Notamacropus eugenii: one gene and its partners. The protein of the gene in region 2 interacts with the protein of the main gene of each other region in a pairwise test. Links are inferred from orthologs where the notes say so. Each region holds a gene or a part of one and is shown on either strand. Other genes may lie near its edges.

Region 1 (3,747 bases), on a different chromosome or scaffold from region 2:
GTCTCCCCTCTCGCGCGGGGCCGATCCCCGCAGGGCCGGCTGGGCTGGGCTGGAGCGGGGTGGCTGGGGGAAGGCAGGGCTGCCCTCCCGCGCTTAGCTGATGGTGTCCTGGCGGGGCTCTGCGGCCCCGTTTCCTGCCTCTGCCGGCCACATTTTTCCTCTGGATGTGGCTCGTACAGAGTAGGGTCCCCCCCCTTTCCCTGCAGACCTCGCCCTCCTCCTGGCATCCCCCCGCCTTTTACATTTGCTGCCAAGGGAAGCTAGTAACCAAAAACAAAACAACGAGGAGGAGGAAGGGGAGGAAAAGTTGTGCGCTAGTAGCTCGTCCCCGCTGGGAACTGCATCCGCACCCCCTCCCCCTGCCCTGGCCTTTTGATCGCCCTTTGATGTCTAGGGGAGATACTGGGGTTGGGGCGGGGTCCGATGGCCGCCTTCTAGGTCCAGGAAGGCTTTGGCTTTGGCTGGGGCTGGGCACGGCTCAGGTCGGGCAGGATTGGGGGCGGGTGGGGTGGGTGGCTGCGGCTGAGTCCCCGCAGCCCTCCCTCCCCTGGCTCCGAGCGAGCCGAGGCTTTGAAGGGATTTTGTCTCTTTAAATTCAGAGGGAGCTTGACCTTGCCGCACCTCCCTCCACCCCTCTGCTGCCCACCCTCCTGGGGTGGGGGTGAATGGGGCTTGGACTCCGCAGCCCCTAGTTTGGGAAGACGTCGCCTCCCCCGCCCCCGCCTGCGTATCTGTATCTGCACTCCCGCTGATACCCCCTTTTCCATCCTCTCCCCCACCCCCTTTTCCTGCATTTACAGGCAAGTGAACCGAAGAAAACGACTTCCGATCCTGCATTGCTGCAGCTCCCATTTGGGATCTGATTTGCATCATCTCAGGAGCCCGTAAGACCAAACCAAACCAAAAAAGAAGCAAGCCTGGGATCAGCCCTCCACGCACACACACAGACACACATAACACACACACGCACACACATACACACGCACACACACACGGACACACGCCCAGACGCACCCCCACACCCTCGCCCCGACACTGACTGTCAGGCGCACACGGATCCCCACACCCCCACACCATGGTGCTGTGCGGAAGGACTTCCACTCCCTGCCTGTGCCGTTGATGTCAGTCCCCAGGACAGCCTCCCGGCGCTGCGGCTCGGCTGGCTGATGCTGATGCTGCGGCTCGGGGCTCGGCACTAGGACACCGACGCCGCTGCTCCGCCGCTGCTCCGCCCCGGCCCCGGCCCCCGCCACCGCCAACATCTGCATGTTCCCGCCGCGCTGGCCGCTCGCTGCCTCCCCAGCCGGCAGCCTTGCTACGGACTGAGGCTCCCCGGAGCGCTGGCTTCTGCCGGGAGACCCAGCCGCCCTCGGAAGAGGAGATCTCGGGGATTTTAACTGGAGTGGGCCGGGTTTTTTTTCGGGTGGATCTATCCATTCGGGAGCTGAATTAGGAAAGAAACATGACGTCTCCGGCTAAATTCAAAAAGGATAAGGAGATCATAGCAGAATACGATACTCAGGTCAAAGGTAGGTGGTCTTTGAAAATTGCTGTATACGCCTATTCATATGTACTTGTATATACACACGTATATGTACACACACACACACACATATATACATGTTTAAATATAGTCTATTGTGGCTCGTCGGGAAGGTTTCATTTCCCTGGATAGAGCAGGTGGGGGAGTTTTTATTCAGAGAAGACTGTCGGGTGAGGGGGATGAGGGTGTGTACCACCCTAGGATGGCAGGGCTAGGGGCCACAGGCACTAATGGAAATTTTCCAGAGCTTTCAGGTCTGCCCTAGGGACCAGGCCATCACTGTAAGTGCCCCCTTACCTTGCCTAGACTGGGGGGTGGGGGGGCACGTGGTTCTTGAAAGGATAAAAGGGGTAATCTGCTTTTGAGTTTGGGTCTTCGGAATGATTGAAATCTGACAGGTGTTTGGAGATGCATTTCACAGCCTGAAGACTAATCTGGGCTGGAAAAGGCAACCTAGAGAAGGTGTTTTATTTGGAAAGCTCCTGCAGAGGTTGGGTTTATAAGGGTGGTTTTTTTCTTAGTGTTTTTTTTCCTACTGCAGCTATTTTAAACTGTAAGACTTGCTATGGTATTACAAAACAGTCCAGGAACATCAGCTGCTAGGCATACCTGCCCAGCTACATCTAGGATCAGCCTGCTATGTGGAGAGTAGAAATCAAGGCACCCAACCTCCATCCTTTCACCCTCCACCCTGAATTTGTATGTGGTGACATGGGTTTTGAACTGAATTTTGATTCCCCAGGGTTGTGGTTCTGGAAAAGGAAAAGAAAGATCTGTGTTTAACCCTTTGTTCTTTTCCTTCTTTATTTTGAAGCCTTGAATTATTTCCCTGCAAAACAGGAATGAAAAGGTAAACTTGTAGAGGCAACTGACCAGTTCTCAGCTCTCCTAGGTCCACTGATAGACTTGACTAGTGAATCCCCCATTCCTAGAGCTCCTTCCCAAATTCCTTATTGCCCTTCCTTCCCTGGATTCCTGCCTGTTAATGAGGAACACACAACCAACATTTGTGTGGCTACCCAACCTGGCTAGCTAATCAGTCACTGGAGATAGCCCTGTGCCTCAGTCTAGTGAGATATCAGCTGGGGGATGGGAAATAGGCCTTGAATGTTATAACACATGGCTGGAAATCTAGGTTTTCCTTTGTTTCAGGGTAGAGGGAAGTGTCCCCTCCTCCTCTCCCTGTATCTATGTTAGGAAACCTTTTTTATAACATCGAGGACTTAGGGAGAGCTTTGTAACCCTTCCTCCAACCAATGCTTGGGAGGCTTTAAAATGGGAAGCCAGTTGCTTCCTTCTGCTTGGAGAGGCTTAATCTGCAGTTCCCACCATGCTGGGATCTCTTTATCTCCTCAGTTAGCTCCCCTCCAGAGTGTGCTCTGAAGGGTCTCTCTCATCAATTGACTGAAAGCCCCAGTAGGTTTAGAGCAGGGATAGGGAGCTAACTCAATTCTAGATCCAGTTGTGCTGGGCTGGGAGGGGTGTGGCTTCGAGTTAGAATTGAGTGAGGTCTTGGCCTCTTGTCCTGGTTGATAAGCCCTGACTCTTTTTGCAAACAATAGGCCACTGGCCTTTTGTGTCCTGTCCAGATTGGCTGCGTTCTGCTGGTTGGAATCCCCCCTCTCATTATAACTAGGTCTGTGCCTCTCCTTCACATCCTGTTCAGAACTGTTTCCATAGAGTTAATAACTTCCACTTTTCCAGGTTCTCTTCAGAGTCACCCCATTTGACCAACGGTACAAAGTGATTTTACACATATATTTTTAGGAAGTTTTGGGACTGAAAGGTGTTGTTAATAGAATCATCTTAGCCACTGATCCAGCTGGTAAAGGAATGCTGGAAATTCTCCTGTGTGCTCAGAGAATTAAACACTCGCATATTTACAAACACTGCTCTCTGAGATGATGTAATGCAGTTGGATCTTTGAGGTTTCTCTTTAACCTTGCCACAGACAGCAGAGTTTTCTTTCGCTCCAGTCTTTTCCCATTGACATTGTGTAGACTCAAAGAATCTTGGAACTAGAAGGAACCAGAGAAATGATGGTCTAACACTCTTATTTTGCAGATCAGGAAACTGGCCCAGAGACTTAAAGGATTTACCCAAGGTCACACAGCCAGTTAAGGGCAGAACTGGGATAAGAACCCAGGTCTTTAGACTTTCCGTCCAGCTCTCTTTTCACTATCAAACACTGCCTTTGTTCTGCT
Region 2 (3,747 bases):
TCTGGATATATGTGTGTACAGCACACATAGACAGACCAGAGAGAGAGAACAAGGGTGCGCAGACAAAAGCATTGGCAGTGAACCTCCAGTTGGAGAGCCCTTCCCATTCCAAAAGATAAGTGGTAACATCAAGTGATGGATAAGCAGTGAGGTTGGACTGAGGTCCTCTCAGTGCAAAGGAGGGTCTTTAGTCCCAGAAAAAAGTGATCTTTACCTGACGGACCACAGCAAGGATTCAGCCAACAAGGCGAAAAGGTGTTTTCTGCGGTGAGGAACAAACTCCTTTGATCATGTGATAAGTAAAGCATAGGGAATTTGCCTGAGGTGAACAGAGCTTGAGTAGACCAGCATGCCATGTTGTCAACCGAGGTCTGACGTAGAATTTGAACCTTGATCCTCCTGATTCTAAATCTACCCCCATCTCATGTGCCCCCAAAAGAACAAATCACTCAACAAAATTAAAAAGAAACTGGCAAAATAAGTATCTCTGTTTAAATTTCAGACCTTAGGCAAAGAACATCTCAAAGCTTCAGTCACCATAATGCTTTCCTGTAAATCCCACGAGGGCAAAGGCGTGTTTTTTTTAATCTTTGTAGGTGCAGCACCTCGTCCAGTGCTTTACACAAGGTAGATACAATACTTAATGTAACTTAGTAACATTCTGAGTGTCTCAGCGAATGAAACATTGTAGCCATCTGTGGTACAGCCCCCGTAGGAGCAAGTTTCCTCATTCAACTGGAAGACCCCAAATCCATCAACAAGTGAGGTGCCAAGCGATGGGGAATTAAAGACAAAAAGGAAACAGTCCCAGCCTTCAAGGAGCTTACATCCTGAGGCAGAGGGGTTTGGGTTTAAATTTTCACTAGCAAATTGAGCTCTCCCTTTAATTATTTAAAAATATTATTCTGAGAGGGTGACTACAGATTTCCCAAAGGTGCCCCGTTCCAGGGCGAAGTGACCAGAAGTCCACGGGATAGAGGGCCTGCCCCAGACCCCGCCCCCTCCCGGGTCTCCCAGCCTCGTCCCTATTGGTTCGCTCTGTGTTTGTCTGCGTCTCTCTCTGCCTCTCCCTCCCTCCCTCTCTGTGGTTCCTCCTTCCGGCTTGACTCCCGATCACGTGACCGGATGTAGGAAATGGGCGGGGCCGGAGCTTTTCCGCAGCTTCCTGGAGAGACGGAGCCCGAGGGAGAGAGAGAGAGCTCTCCGGCTAACTGCCGCGTCCTCGGCCCCAGCCCGGTGCCCTCACGGAGGAGCCTGCCCGGCGCGGCTCGGGTAAGGGGGAGGCGGAGGCCGCGGCCTGTGCGCGGTGACTTGGGAAAGGGCCGTGGTCGCCCCTCGGGGCCGCTCCTCTCCCGGAGAGACGCGGCCGTCATCTCCCCGGCGTCGCCCCTGCCCTGCCCCCCGCGCGGGCCCGGAGGGGAGCGTTCAGGCCGCGCCTTCTCCGCTCCTGCTCCGCGCGGGCCTGGGTCCGGGGCTTAGCTTCCTGACAGGATAATGGTCATTTTTGTCGTTCAGCGTCCTCCTGACCCCATTTGGGGCGTTCTTGTCAGAGATACCCGAGTGGTTTTTGCCATCTCCTCCTCTGACTCATTTTACAGATGAGGAAACTGAGGCAAACAGGGTGAAGTGACCTGGGTCACACAGCTAGCCATTGTCAGAGGCCAGATATTTTTTCTCGTACCTCCAGAGTCTTCCTTTTCCACTGAGCCCTGCAGGGAGTTAACCTGAGATCAGTGGACACCTCTCCCACAGGGATCTGCGGATCAGTTTTAGGGGGACCTTGAACTTGGATATGGGGGAAAAGAACCTGCATCTTTATTTTCACTAACCTTCATCTGAAAATTAGTATCTTCTTCTATTATAAATTTTTAAAATAAATTCTGGGAAGGGATACATGGGTTTCAGCAGATTGCAAAAGATGTTCACACAAAAAAGGATTACGAATTCCTGCTCTAGAGCATGTCTGGGTTTTCCCTTATGTGAGTGCATCCTGAATTCTCCACTCTCCCTGCAGCAAAGAAGGAATGATGCGTGGTTCCCGCAAATGTTCCCTGGCAAAAGTGAGTGGTGGCCAGCGCACAGAGTAGGAGTCAAGAACCGGGGGTTCTAACCTGGTACTGCTGCTATCCCACAGCAAATGTAATTGGTCTTGGATGGGTCCCTTGGCCTCTCAAAGACCCCAGTTTCCTCATGTTTGAAATGAAGGAGTTAGATACTCTTTGGCTCTAGCTAGAAACGTTTGTTGTATTACCAGAGTTGTACTATTCCAGAGGCCAACTGAGTATTTTTACCTTTGGAGTAATTTGTAATTTTCCTGTTTTTCCAGCTGAGTAGGAAAACACTATCTCCTGTTTAAATTGCATGTCCTCCACGAGATCTATTTTCTCATTTGTTTCATAACTAATTAGAATCAGTAATTATTACAGGTAGAAGGCACCTTAGAATTCATCTAGTACAAACCACTTATTTTACAGAAGAGAAAACTGAAACTCAGAGATTTTGTAAGTTGCCTAAGGTCTTACATTGAAGTAGTGGGCAGTCAGGTCTAGAATAGAGATCTCCTGATAAAATTCCTGCTAGTGTGCCATATTGACTATGGGGAAACCTTTTAGCCTTCTTACCATTATTCACTTTAAACCAAATCAACAAGTATTTATTGATCATCTTCTATATGCCCAGCATTGTACAAGACTCCATTTAGGTACCTTTTTGACTGTGGGCAAGTCACTTCATTTCTCTGGACCTGTTTCTTCATCTATAAATTAAAAAGTTGGACTAAACTATCTCTCAGATCCCTTCCAGCTAAAAATCTGCAGTCCTAAATACCAGACAGTTTCTGCCTTCAAAGAATCTTAGGGTATAATTGAGGAGTTAAGACAAATAAATGAAATACATACAGAAAAATACTTAAAGGATCCTTAGTTTCCTTAGTGACAGGCATTAGCTCTTCCAGGACAGACTACAACTTCTCTGTCCTAGCTGTGGTGTTTGAAGTACTGTAGATAAAAAAAATGTATGTGGTAGCTAAGCTGGCATTCAGGGTCTCCTTACTTAGCTATGCTAGTCTTCAGTTGACAGAAATACAGAAGAATAGCCAGACTTCCATTTGATGCCAGACCTGCCAGAGTTTACATTCCACAAACATAGAGAGCTTAGAGTCACCTCTGTGCCATGAGGAGGTATCAGATTAAGATTTTAGTGGAAAGAACAATATGATTAAGTGGCAGATTGTATAGTACATTAAATACTAGAGAGATCTAAGGGAAAAATCAACATGGGCTGGAATAGTACTAATTGATATTGGGTAGACCAGGAAGCGTCTCTAGGCCTTAGTTTCCTTACCTGTAAAATGAGAGTTGGACTGGGTGACATCTAAGATCATTCTAGTTCTAAGTCTTTGATTTATGATCCATTTGGACTTGGCTTCAGGGAAGAGCTATGACTCCAGTTGGATTTTGAAGAATGGTTAGAATTTGAATAGATGGTTGTAGTAGGGAATGAATGAATGAGTGAAGTACTTAATATGTGAAAAGCACTGTGCTACAAGCTACAAAAGCACTGGGGATACAAATATAAAAGTAAAACAGTCACTACTTTCAAGGAGCTCACATTCTAATGGGAGAGAACATATGTAGATTTTACCAATGTCAGATGACAAGGTCCCATGATCCTTAGGATGAAGTGGCAAAGCAGATGCTAATACTTCTTTAATGATATTTCCATTGATAAAATCAGATCATTTTGTGA
Region 3 (3,747 bases), on a different chromosome or scaffold from region 2:
CTAGTGATCACAAGAAAGAACATGGAGACACTATGGTTAGGAGTGTGCTCTTGCTGTTAAATAGCGGCCCTATTCTTAGCCTGGGGTCTGTAAGCTATTTTATAAAAATGTTCTGACATCAACATTCCAGTACATTGTTTTATAAAAGAATCTCATGTATATTGTGTGTACATATTATAGACATGCATGTATGAACATTAAAAAGATCTTTTAAAAAAAATCCTGACAGTATTTTAGATGCTGACAATTTAACAAACATCTCATATGTGGCCAAATTCTCACTTGTTTTGGTTCCAACACTTAAAATTCAGCAAGATACACTAGGCTGAAGACCTCCATTTCAATATGCAAAGTTCAAGAATATACTTTGAAATTTCGAGTAAAAAAGTATTTCTAAAGGTATAATTAAAGGGCTCAGTAGGGCACAATTTATCATCAATGGAGGATTTACTTCACGTACTTACCACAGCATAAAAGAAGCTGAACAGTTAATTTAGTTTATATTTGTCAATGGTAAAAAAAAAAATAGCGAAGTATTGTACAAATATGATAGTGATGTAAGTGATTTGATAACACATGGACTGTGATCAATAAAAATGGAAATGCCAGTGTTTTTAGATAAACAATGAATCATTTTATAAAATAGACCATAATTAACACTGTCATTTATTTTTGCCGAGTTGTAGCTCTATTCAGAAGCACAAATCACACACAAAACTCCATTTTCCTCTACTGTTAACATGTAAAACGGTATTACAGCATTAGACTGTAAGCCCCCTGAGAGCAGCCTGTTCATCTTTGAATCCCCAGCACCCGAACAGTGCCTTCAACCAGTACACATGCTTAACCAATACTTGTTGGAAGGAATTAAAAAGAACGCAAGTACTTTGTAATTTAATAAAACAGCACAGGAAGAATACAACGCATGACTTCTGTGTCCCAGGAAATTTTCTGTCATTTTTCATGTTAAATTTTTTGCTCAAAGTTAGGCACAGGATGGCCTGAACACGTGGGGCTCGTACAACGTGGGATTCGCAAAATAATTTAAAGAATTATCCAAAAATTAGCTGTAAGCAGCAAACACATTTCTGAAGGCAACTTCTTAAATTGGCAGAGGGCACGAAGCTGCCGATCACGCCAGGTAAGAGCACGGAACACTCAGTTTATGTCCAAGCAGCCGAACGCCTGGCAGGTACACACACACCTGTGCGCGCCCTTCTGCCAGTTAGACCCACAACTGCCCATCACGCGGCCCGGCGGCTGCTCTCAGAACCCGGTGTCTGGGTCTAACCCAATCCCTCCTGACGGGCTCAGACACGGAGGGAAGGGGCTGTTTTGTGCGATTTGCGGCTTCTGAGGACAGCACGCGGATGACAAGGGAGGATGGATGGACGGACGGACGGACGATGACACATGGCCGCAGGAGTCCAAGAATGGGGGGGCGGGCTCCGGGGGCTGGCTCGATGACAAGCCCACAGCGGGGACGGGGGTTCGGGGTTCCCCCCGGGACCACCGGGCCCAATCCGGCGGGGAGAGGGGCGGCCTGCAGGCACCCCTGCTGGGTGGGGGGAGGGGCGGCCCGAGGGCACCCCTGCTGGGCGGGGGGAGGGGCAGCGCATTTTTGGAGTCCTGCTAGGCCATCCACGAGGTGACGGGGGGCTCTCTACCTGCGCTGGCCAGAGGGTTACCAAAACTGAAGGGGGCCGCGGCGCTGGTGGAAACGCCGAAATTCCCAATATTAAAGTTCACCGCAGGATTGGCAGCTAAGCCGAAACCCCCAAAATTAAACCCACTGTTGGTGGAGCTGGCGGCGTCCAGCCCACCAAATCCTGACGGGCGGGGAAGGGGAGGGGGAGAGGGAGAGAGAGAGAGAGAGAGAAAAGAAAGCACGTAAGCATCGCAGAGTCCGGTCCGACGGGCAGCTCCCCGAGGGCAGGCCCCGGCTCCCCACTGCAGAGCACCGCGGGGGGGCGGGGCGCCGGCCCAAACAAGCGGGAGTCCCCCCTCCCCTTCTCCCCCAGGACGTCGGGCGCCGGGCGGGGGGGACCCTGAATCTCTTCGCTGAAGACCCCCGCCCGGCTGGCCCTCGAGGGTCCCCTCCCCGCCCTCAGCTGGGGGCGCACCCACGCGGGGCCGGGCAGGCCTGGGCGGCCCTCGGGAGGGGTCCCCGGCGGATCTCCCCAGCCCGCCCCGCCCCCGCTCTGCACACTCACCCGCGGGAGCGGCGGGGGTGGCGGCCGTGGCCGTGCCGCCCGCGGGAGCCCCGAAGTTGAAGGCCATGGCGCCGCCGGGGCCGCGGCGGCTCTCACGGGGCGCTCGGTGCAACCAGTGGAAGGGTCCGGCCGAGCAGCGGCAACCCGAAGCCTGAGGGTTCCCGGAGCGGCAGGTGGCGGCGGGGGGGGCGGGGCCTCGGAGGAAGCCCGCGTCGCGTCTGTGACGTCACCGAGAAGTATTACGCGAGGCGCGGCGCGGGGAGAGTGCGCATGCGCACGGTGAATCCTTCAGCCGGCCCGGGCAAATCCTGGAAACTGGTACCTTCCTCCTCCCGCCCCCCCAGGGTCTCCGCGGGGATCTTTGGGGGTTTGTCCCTGCCTTTTGTTCTCCCGTCCTCCTTCCCGAAGGTTTCCTTCTCTGCCCTCGTGCGAACAAAGAATGCGAAAGAGACAAAGAGGAAAGAGGGGGAAAGCGCGCCCCAGAGCCCTCCCCTCCCCCGCGGATTGGGATCAGCTTGTGATTGGGTCTTAGAGACCTTTATGGAAGCTCTTCCCCTCCCCATGCAGGGGCGGGGCTCATCGGACGCCCGATTTCGGCGGTGGAGAGGGGGCGGGGCGCTCCCGGTGCCGGGGTGCTGGGGTGCCCCCTGCTTGGGCCCCGGCTCGAAACCAACGCCCGTTCTCTCCCCCATCCAGCTCGCCGTGCCTGGGTCATCGGGTCACGTGCCTGACCTGGCGCCTACGTCTGTGTGTCCTAGGCTCGGACGTGGGCCTGCTCCCTTACGTCATCTCGTCTAACCGGGCACTGATGGGGGCAGTCCTGACCGTTTGTGGGCGGTTCAGGTCTAAAGCCCCGCCTCCATGGAGCCCGCCCTTCGCTCGTTCCCGATGAACTCTGGGTAAAGTAGCTGCGCAGGAGATACCAGAAGTGCCTGTTCCTTTAAGAAGTAGCCCCTCCTTAGCCACGCCCTAAGCCCGCCCTGGTCCCAGGGCTGGGCACGTGCTTCCCTGTAGAGCATCCTAGAGAAACTTTACCTGGACCCCTAGAGTTGCAGGTTTGCTGAGATCTTTCCCAAGCGGTTGTTTGCATTTGTTCCTGGAGGCAGTAGGGAGGTGACATGATCAGACCTGAATTTTAGGAAAATCTCTCCAGGGGCTCGAGGATGGACTGAGGTGGGCAGAAGCAGCCAGCAGCTATTGCTGCTGCTGGATAACTCTCCTTTCATGAATTCGTTTACTGGAGAATTCTGAGAGCTGTGATGGTTTTCTGGGTCCCCAGCATGTGGTGGGAAGGAGCCAGGTTCGTGAGTGGCTATCTCCCCCCATAAGAAGAATCAGGGAAGCAACTTTTGATCAGAACCCATTATGCCCCTAGGCCAGAAATATTTTCCAGGTATCAGATGAATATCATTTTAATCTATATGTTCAAAGACGTTTCTTTCTGAAAGAGCATTCAGCCTTGGCTTCACTCCTGAGGACTGCTTACCTCTTCTGTCTTTCCCTGCCCCTTGTCCCCCAGCTAGAGTGCTGGTGG

The links.
Region 1: the proteins of EXOC1 (region 2) and SRGAP2 interact in a two-hybrid assay, tested with the Homo sapiens proteins (2 studies listed by BioGRID and IntAct). The link is inferred for Notamacropus eugenii from reciprocal best matches to the Homo sapiens genes EXOC1 and SRGAP2.
Region 3: the proteins of EXOC1 (region 2) and NUP54 interact in binary tests that used the Homo sapiens proteins (3 or more experiments, as listed by UniProt). The link is inferred for Notamacropus eugenii from reciprocal best matches to the Homo sapiens genes EXOC1 and NUP54.

What each region holds. Positions count from the first base shown.
Region 1 is NC_092873.1:433,186,050-433,189,796, reverse strand, and holds the start of SRGAP2 (SLIT-ROBO Rho GTPase-activating protein 2), read left to right. Parts: upstream 1-1,389; 5' UTR 1,390-1,462; coding exon 1,463-1,529; intron 1,530-3,747. UniProt on the Homo sapiens protein: Postsynaptic RAC1 GTPase activating protein (GAP) that plays a key role in neuronal morphogenesis and migration mainly during development of the cerebral cortex. Regulates excitatory and inhibitory synapse maturation and density in cortical pyramidal neurons.
Region 2 is NC_092877.1:107,220,188-107,223,934, forward strand, and holds the start of EXOC1 (exocyst complex component 1), read left to right. Parts: upstream 1-1,042; 5' UTR 1,043-1,272; intron 1,273-3,747.
Region 3 is NC_092878.1:151,165,565-151,169,311, reverse strand, and holds the start of NUP54 (nucleoporin p54), read right to left. Parts: upstream 2,378-3,747; 5' UTR 2,281-2,377; coding exon 2,214-2,280; intron 1,830-2,213; coding exon 1,668-1,829; intron 1,221-1,667; exon of another isoform or gene 966-1,220; coding exon of another isoform or gene 887-965; intron 1-886. UniProt on the Homo sapiens protein: Component of the nuclear pore complex, a complex required for the trafficking across the nuclear membrane.